Linked DNA regions of Drosophila melanogaster. The protein of the gene in region 2 interacts with the protein of the main gene of each other region in a pairwise test. Each region holds a gene or a part of one and is shown on either strand. Other genes may lie near its edges. The genes, in order: GCC88 and Rab19.

Region 1 (4,869 bases), on a different chromosome or scaffold from region 2:
TGGAACGAAGGCATTCTGGCACCGTCGGCTAGAGGATGTGCCCCAGGGATTCTCCCTAGTTCTCGCCCACGAGTTCTTCGACGCCCTGCCTGTGCACAAGCTCCAACTCGTAGATGGCAAGTGGCAGGAGGTGCTCATCGATGTGGCATCCTCTGATGGCGCACAAGAAGCTAGCTTCCGATATGTGCTCTCACGTAGCCAAACACCCGTTTCGAGTCTTTATCGACCGCTGCCCGGCGAGACACGATCCTGTTTGGAGCACTCCCTGGAGACGGAACGACAGGTGGGACTGCTCGCCGAGCGCATCGAACGGGATGGCGGCATCGCTCTAATCATGGATTATGGCCATTTTGGCGAGAAAACCGACACTTTCCGGGCCTTCAAGCAGCACAAGCTGCACGATCCGCTGGTGGAGCCGGGCAGTGCTGATCTCACGGCCGATGTGGACTTCAAGCTAGTGCGGCACATTGCCGAGACACGCGGAAATGTCCACTGCTGCGGTCCCGTGGAGCAGGGACTGTTCCTGCAGCGAATGCAGGGTGAGGCTCGACTGGAGCAACTGTTGGCACATGCGCTGCCCGAAAACCAGGAGATCATTCGCTCCGGCTACGAGATGCTCACGGATCCAGCCCAGATGGGCACTCGCTTTAAGTTCCTGGCCATGTTTCCCGGCGTGCTAGCTGCCCACCTAGACAAATACCCAGTCGTCGGATTTAGTTAGTTATCTATTTAGGATCTGTTTGTAGGGTTTTAAATATGTTGCACATGATTGTTGAACAAAAGTACGAATGTTATTTCTTCTGGAATGATGCATTGATCGCCTGCATCTCTGCGGCGGTGAACTGGAGCACCGCCGAGATGGCGTTCAGCATGTGACGCTTGCCGTCCGCGTCCCGGGTAACAATGTAGCTGATAATAACGTTCTTCAGGTACTCCAGATTGGCACCCTCGCGCGTCTTGCAACGTTCGAGTCTAGAATGGGAGTAGAGATCGTGGCATGACTTTCTAAGACAACAACGATAACAACGACAACGACGCACCTGTCCACCTGCTCCTTGAGGCACTCGATCTTCTCGTGCATTTCCTGCTGAGATGTCACCTTGTCCTGGATCGCCTTTCGCAGCGTCGACTCGGCGGCGTATTTGGCTTTCCGCAGTGTCGTGATTTCGATGTCCTTGCGCGCCAACTCGTTGGCATAGTGCAGCATGTGGCAGTTCTCGCCCATCGACATTTTCTTGGAGCGCACCTTTAGCTTTCTTTCCCGCTGCTCCCCCTCCACGCTGTCGGTGTCGGAGGAATAGTGAAAGGAATCGGCAGCTGCTTCAAGTGTGGGTGTGGCCAGTGTGCTGCCCACACCGCTGGCCGAGTGAAAGACCTCGAAGGAGGTCTGCAGTGTCTTAATCTCCTGCTCCTTCTCATCCAGCAGCTGCAGTGACCTCTGGCGCTGCTTCTGCAGTAGCTGTTCCAGCTCGTTCAGTTTGCAGCGCGTCTCGTTCTCCAGTTCAGCCTTGGCTTCCTGCCACTTGGTTCGTTCGTTCTTCAATGCCAGGCGCAGCTTTTCGCCCTGCTGCTTTAGTTCGACTTCCGCCTCGTCGATGTTGCGATTGAGCACCTGCACCTTCTCCTGCAGCGTTTGGATGTGCGAGTGCTGCAGCTGCACCTTCTGTTCGAGTAGCTGTCGCTGCTGCTTGGATGCCTCGAGCATTTGCTGCACACCCTGAAGCTGTTGCTCGCAGTGGGCGTGACTCTCGACTCGGGTAGCTGTTTGGCCGCTAAATGATAGGATCTCCCCGAGATCCAGTGGATTGGCAGAACGGGCATTGGCTGTGGTAAGCAGTTTCTTCAAGCGCACCATCTCGTCAACCAGCGTGGCTACGTCCACATCTTCGTTTAGCGCCCTTGAATTGGATGTTGGACGCACATGTGCCTGCTCTAGATCCTGCAGCTGCTGCTTCAAATCATGGATGCTGTCCTGATCTTGCTGACGCAGGCGGTCGTAGCTGCCGACAGTGGTGCTGAGCTCCGCCAGGCGTGCCTCTAGACTGGCCACGCGATCCTCGTGCAGCGCCGCCTGCCTGCGACTCTGTTCCTCGGCACGCAGCACGCGACGCTGTTCCTGACGAATGGCCACTGCATGCTGCTCCTTCAGTTGCTGCATCTCAAGGCGCACTTGCTGAAGGAGAGCGGCGCTGTCCGCACTCGCTGACGCTGCTGCAGAGTGCTCGGTCTTGGCCTGGAACTGTTTCAGCTGGGAGCGAGCCTCCTTTAGCTGGGATTGCAATTCCCGTAGCCGGCTATTCTCTGCCTCGTTGCTGGCGAACTGGGTCTTGAAGTTGTTTAACTGCATCTCAATGTTGTCCTTTAGATGCCGCTCGTCCGCATAGAGTTTCTGCAGTTCGCGGATCATGAGCATTTGGTTGTTGGTCTCTTTCTCGCGCTCCTGTCGCTCCACGATCCACTTGGCCTTGATCTCGTCCACGTCGCTTTTGGCCCGAGCAGCCTGCTCCTTGGCCCGGGTATTAAGCTCCTGAATGGTCTGCTCCTTTTGGGCGATTTGGCTGCGCAGTTGCTTTTTATCCGCCTGAAAGGAGGCCTCCATGCGGGATTTCTCAGCGGAAAGAGTGGCCAGCGAGTTCATCAGGGTGATAATTTGGGTCTGCAGTTGACCCTCGGCCGGGGGAGCAGGCGGACCCGGTGCAGCGCCCTCGGTTGCTCCATCCGCAGAGTCGGTGCTGGTTTTTTTGGACTCCAACTCCCTGGCCGGCGATCCGGACTCGCCCACCGCCGTGGCCTCCGCATGCGCCGCCAGACTCGTCTCCAATGCCTCCTTCTCCTTAAGCAGACCCTTGTAGGCAGTGACCACGTCTACAAATTGGGCTCATTAATCCATTTGCATTGCGAATTCATCTATGTCTCACCTTTTAGACGCTTTTCATAGCGCCCCAGTTGCTCCTTTTGGGTGGACACCAGCGCCTCCAGCTCCCTCTGTCGCTTCTCCATTTCGCCTTGAAAGGGAATTAGTTCATTTACTTTCAGTTCGCTTAGTAGTTCAATTTATTTATCTCCCGTGTCATTTTTGCATTTCTTTTAATTAACAAATTTCAGCAGCTGGCACGCGGGCCTGCCAACTTGTCATGTTTGCTCAGGCACTAAAAATTGCCATCATTCTGATTTAAACTTTTTTTTATTTTTGCGGTTTTTCAAAAAATAATTAATAACCAAATTTACATAAATTAAAAACTATTTTAAATGTAAATGTATTATAAATCAGCTGCATAGTTGCTAAATTGAGATATTTTCAAACATTAATATTAGTCCAATTAAAGTAAATTAAATGTTGAGCCTAACTAAATCTTATTTCATTCGCCCTCCTCGTCCTTCATCATCTGCTCAATGAGTCTCTTACGTTCCTCAGCTTGGCGCAGCTTTCGCATGACCAGGTCCTCGTAGTCGGTGGATGACGCACTGCACCCAGTGGTGGCCGATTTGGTTGTCTGCTTGTCTGCCGCCGGCGGCGTTACCCACTCGAAGTGCAGCGGCTTGGCGGGATCGCCTTTTTCGTAGGCCAAGACCATGTCGCAGGCTTCGCGCGTGGCCAGCTCCACCATGGCGCGTCCGCGTCGCTTGCTGTTGACCACCAGGGCCACCACGTCGCCGTACTTCTTCAGATACTTGAGCAGCTCTTGCTGTGTGTAATCCTGGCCAGGTTCGGCCTTCCACTTCATCTTGATGCGATGCTGGGCGGAATCAAACTGGACCGGCTGTTGCTGCAGTTTCTGTTGCTCCGCGTGATTCCGCCGGAACTGCTCCTGCATGGCTCGCTGCTCCTCCTCCAGCAGACGGGAGCCCTCGCGTCGCAACCGCTCGATCTGCTCATGCAGCACCTCCTCGTCGCTTTTGGCCACCGTGCTGTAGGGTTGGCTCTTCGCCAGTTTGTGCAGTGCCGCCCGTTCACGTTCCTCCAGTTCCAGCTTCAGCTTCTGCCGCTTCCCGTCCAGTTGGCGACTCCTCAGCTCCGCCGCCTTCTTGGCCTTCAGCACTTTGTCATAAGCTGCGCGCGCGGATTCATCCGTGAGGATCTCCAGAGCCTTGGACAACTCATGGAAGCGCTCGACTGCCTTCGGATTGTCCGGATTCTTGTCGGGATGGCACTCGAGGGCCTTCTTGCGGTACGCCTTGCGTATCTCATTTTGATCAGACTCGAGAGAAATGCCCAGAAGATCGTAAAGATTCACGTCACTGTACTTTTTGCTAGCCATTTAGTCTTATTTTACTCCTTATTCAACAACTGGAACATGGGTTTGTTTTGCAGTTTGTCTTTTTTGGGCAAAAGTTAGCTAAAATATACTATTTTATACGAGACTTATTTCACAACTGCAGCCGGCGGTCCAAAAATGTCCAAATAAAACATTTGCAATTGTTTACTGGATCAGCTGTTCGCTGCAACGAGTTGGCAGCCCCGCAACACAACGTGCCCATTTGTTTGGCGTGGATTAATCTAAGTTATCGCAAAAAAAACTCAAATATAATATGACCTTTAGGCGCTGAATTAAGCTGAAGGTACGTCATGAGCATCTATCACGACGAGGTGGAGATCGAGGACTTCGAGTACGACGAGGAGGAGGAGATGTACTACTATCCCTGTCCATGCGGCGATCGATTTCAGATCTCCAAGGTAACGAGTCGTATACGCAACCTTTTTTTTTCTGGACTCCCCATATCACTTGGTAAATTTCCACTTTAGGAGGAGCTAATCGAGGGCGAGGAGGTGGCCACCTGTCCCAGCTGCTCCCTAGTCATCAAGGTCATATACGATCCGGTAAGTGACTCATTCAGAAATACACCTAGAACTCCCCAGAAAACTCAAGC
Region 2 (3,987 bases):
CGCGGGCAAAACCACCATCCTGTACCAGTTCCTGATGAACGAAGTGGTCCACACAAGTCCCACGATCGGTTCCAACGTGGAGGAGGTCGTCTGGCGGAATATACACTTTCTTGTCTGGGATCTTGGTGGTCAGCAGAGTCTGCGCGCCGCTTGGAGCACCTACTACACGAACACAGAGCTGGTGATCATGGTCATCGACTCCACGGACCGGGAACGGTTAGCTGTTACGCGGGAAGAGCTCTACCGGATGCTGCAACATGAGGATCTGAGCAAGGCCAGTTTGCTGGTCTATGCCAATAAGCAGGATCTCAAGGGCTCTATGTCGGCGGCGGAAATCTCACGACAACTGGACCTCACCTCCATCAAGAAGCACCAATGGCACATCCAGGCCTGCTGTGCGCTCACCGGCGAAGGACTCTATCAAGGATTAGAGTGGATCGTGCAGCGCATCAAGAACAAATGACCCGCCACACATGCTACATATTAGCTAATTAATCATTAACGACTAGCTGTCTAGAGAAAGTAAACCAATTTTGATATAAACAATTTTTAAGCGTTTCCAAATTGTTTGAAAAGTTGTTGCCAAGCCAATTTTATTTAGTGTAAAATACGTCCGAACAGGAGTCCCTCGATGATTTAAATCTACGTGTATATGGATAATGTCTAGGAGCTAAGCCAATTTAACTACGATACTTCCAATAAAATTACAAAATAAACGAGTTTATTTCGACACTGTCGCATATCAAATTGAATACAAATTACAAATAGAGAAGTGGACGTATTTGCCTCTCTGAGCATTGCCTTGTAATTGACATTGTTGGCTCGATTCGCTGATGTGTGAGATTGTTTGTACTCTATCGTCAAAAATAAATACATGGTTGTGTAAAAGTTAGTGTCTAGGATTAGGTTAAAGCATTAGAATACTAATATATAGCCACAAGAACAATTTGATCACAAAAGTAAAAGCAAACTAAAGAGCGGATTTAGGTCTAGGTGAGATTGCATGAGCTGCTGCAACTCTTTAAAGGCTTTCCCTGGCCCAAGGTGATGGTGTTTTCTGGCACCTCCTCCACATTGTTGGCATCGTGTTGGCGCTGTAATTGGAACATCATTAGCTTAGGTAACAATAGCCGGAATCGTACTTTAAGTTCGTTGGCCAGGCAGCGGAAGGCGTCCTCCACGTTCATGTTCTCCTTGGCGGAGGTCTCCATCACGAACAGGATCTCAGGTATATATTGACACATCTGGCGCGCCTCTTCAAAGTCCACCTCGCGCTGCTCCTCCAAATCGCACTTGTTGCCCACGAGGATTATCAAAACATTAGAAGCAGTGTATCTACGCACTTCTTCGATCCATTTTTGCAGATTGGAAAAGGAAGACCGCTTGGTGATGTCGTAAACTGTCAGGAGGAAACACATGGTATTCAAGTAGGGTAAACAAACACCCCGCTGATAAGGCGCTTCGCTATTCAAATCAGTGCCAGGCAATCACTTTAAAGCGTTCTCTGGTTATCAGTAGTACCTATTTGGCATGACAAATGGATGGGCGTATGCCTATGCCCGACGAAACAAAAGATACCCATACTGGGACTCACCAATTAAGACCCCGTTGGCCGAGCGATAATAGCTCTGCGTAATAGTGCGAAACCTCTCCTGACCAGCAGTGTCCCAGATTTGTAGCTGGAAGAGGGGCAGAATATGAGTCATATTAGTGGCGGGATCTGGGCAAATCCGTTATGCACCTTGATTTGTTTGCCCTCCACGGCGATGGTCTTCATCGAAAAGTCCACTCCGATGGTGTTCCCATGTCGCTCTATGTAGTTCCCTGTCTTAAATCTGTCCACTATGCAGGTCTTCCCCGTCCCGCAGTCACCAATGAGGACGATCTTGAACAGGAAGTCGAAGTGTTCCTCGTTTGGCAGTGCCATCAGTGTCTGAGGATTGCGGGCGGTCATCTTTTGGCCGCCGTTCTGGCCGTTAACTGGTCTCTTTTGCCTGCTGCCCTGCTTTTCCAATGACAACAAAGTGAAGCAAAACTAATTTTATTGATACGCAATATCAGCTGTTGGCAGTCGATAGTTGACCTATCGATATAGGGGTAAAATAATACTATACTTTTACTTACAGGTTTTTATTTGACTAATTTATATGTACTAATTTTAGTTTATATTATTCTGTTTAGCTTGCTATATATACTGCGAAGCTCATATATCGATATTCCATTTTACATGTGACATCGACCGTTAGGTTTTCTCATCACCAAATAAAATCGAAAGCGTATTTTCAAATGTTTTACTGATTTAAAATATTACGATTTATTTAATTTGCACTATATTTGGATGGCTACGTTGTATTTCGTTCAAGTTACACATACTCTACTTTTTTAGAATTGTTAAATTAAAGTTCATTATTGTTATCTATAATAAAATAGTGGCCAAGGAATGTAAATAAACAATTTTATTTTATTATATTGGATTTTCTCTTTTTAAATTTGGACAAAACGAATTTACACAATTTTCCAAATCGCAAATGCCAACTCTCACTGATGGATTAGCAAGGGAAATCTATTGGGCTGATTTTATCATTACGCAATAAAGCACTAAATATGTTGACAATTTATTTAATTGACTCACAAATGGAAAGCCCTCTTGCGTGTAAGTCCATGTGAATTGAGGTACTTGCCCCGATTAATGCGGCGATCACGTAGGTCAGGCTTTCTGATAACGCATGGGACTCCAATAAATTTTCACCACGTACATTGATGATGGCGCCATTTGACGCTAAAGAGCTGGCTTTATGGGTCTGTAAATATTTACGATGTGTTTCGAAGAAATTCCTCGGGTTTTCCCCATGAAAATAATGTACGCAAAATGCAGACCTTGACCCACATATCAACTTCTATCTCTAGGCAGCGAAACGAGACTCACTTTCAAACCGCAGCGGAAGCGGCTGGGAAACATGTTCTATGTATCTCACCGAATGCAAATAAGCTGACCAACTGCTTCGATTGCCAAACGAATTGGAAACCGCATGCCTGATGCGCCTGCGCACACGCACTGTCGCATCCATTTCGCGTGGAAAGTTTAACTGCCGATCTGGGGGCCAAAGTCTGGCCGAGAACTTGTCCCACGATTAGCCCCATGCTGATGAACATCGTCCACACAGGCAAAAAACAGGGTCTTTAGCTCTGGCTATCATCAGTCGCATTTCTAATGGTTATACCGATCCTTAAGTGTCGGAAAGCATGGAGAATATATCTAAAACTGATTGATCTCAGAAATTAGCATTATAACAATTGTGTTCTCGTGGTTTAATCTTTATATTTAAAGATATTAAGAAATCCAAAATTGTTAGTATGTAAGTTTATACTTATAATGGTTATATTCTATAGAACAAAGTTACAATATTAGTATTTTTGTGTATTTACATATATATCTGCCGCACTTTTTCTTGTTACACTTTGAAGAGAAATTAATTGACTGCTCCCTGGAGCTGCAACCGCAACCTAGTTCCGAGTCAGGATAGCCCTCACGATGGCGATGAGTCACAGGAATGCTGGAAAATGCTCGAGGCTAGACCTACTCCCATCTCCCAGCGAAGAGTTTCATTCCCCCGCATGTTGAGATTTTCGTCGCTAGCAAAAGGAAATCAAACAGCGAATTTGCAACTTCACACAGAGCAGCTCCTCAGAAACACAAAGACCAGATCAAACGAATTTTTTTTGCTGGCCTGGCTGACTGGTTTGCCGTTTTGGCTGGCGGGTAGCTTCTGCCCGACTACTTCCCCCTGGATGCCGCCTGAAAGGCCCCGGAATTCTCGGCCTCACTTTTGCATTGAAGTTTGGCCCGTTCGTCGTTGCTTTTTATCGTTCGCCTCGACCGCTGGCCGTTTCAGTTGAATTTCAAACGTTTGCGCGCGCGGTCGTCGGATCGTGTCCCGAAAAAAAAAAAATCGAAAACCAAAGTCGTAAAATCCATTGAGGGTTTGA

Evidence for each region.
Region 1: the proteins of Rab19 (region 2) and GCC88 interact in a two-hybrid assay, tested with the Drosophila melanogaster proteins (one study listed by BioGRID).

The regions. Positions count from the first base shown.
Region 1 is NT_033777.3:11,227,450-11,232,318, forward strand, and holds GCC88 (GRIP and coiled-coil domain containing 88 kDa), read right to left. Parts: upstream 3,152-4,869; 5' UTR 3,001-3,151; coding exon 2,919-3,000; intron 2,866-2,918; coding exon 1,041-2,865; intron 973-1,040; coding exon 792-972; 3' UTR 722-791; downstream 1-721. Other genes in the region: CG17726 (uncharacterized protein), read left to right, coding at 1-721; CG17187 (uncharacterized protein), read right to left, coding at 3,360-4,259; Dph3 (diphthamide biosynthesis 3), read left to right, coding at 4,568-4,675, 4,745-4,819.
Region 2 is NT_037436.4:8,295,227-8,299,213, reverse strand, and holds Rab19 (Rab19), read right to left. Parts: upstream 2,197-3,987; 5' UTR 2,125-2,196; intron 2,046-2,124; exon of another isoform or gene 2,003-2,045; 5' UTR 1,955-2,002; coding exon 1,742-1,954; intron 1,680-1,741; coding exon 1,595-1,679; intron 1,400-1,594; coding exon 1,143-1,399; intron 1,095-1,142; coding exon 990-1,094; 3' UTR 708-989; downstream 1-707. Other genes in the region: Arl5 (ADP-ribosylation factor-like 5), read left to right, coding at 1-463.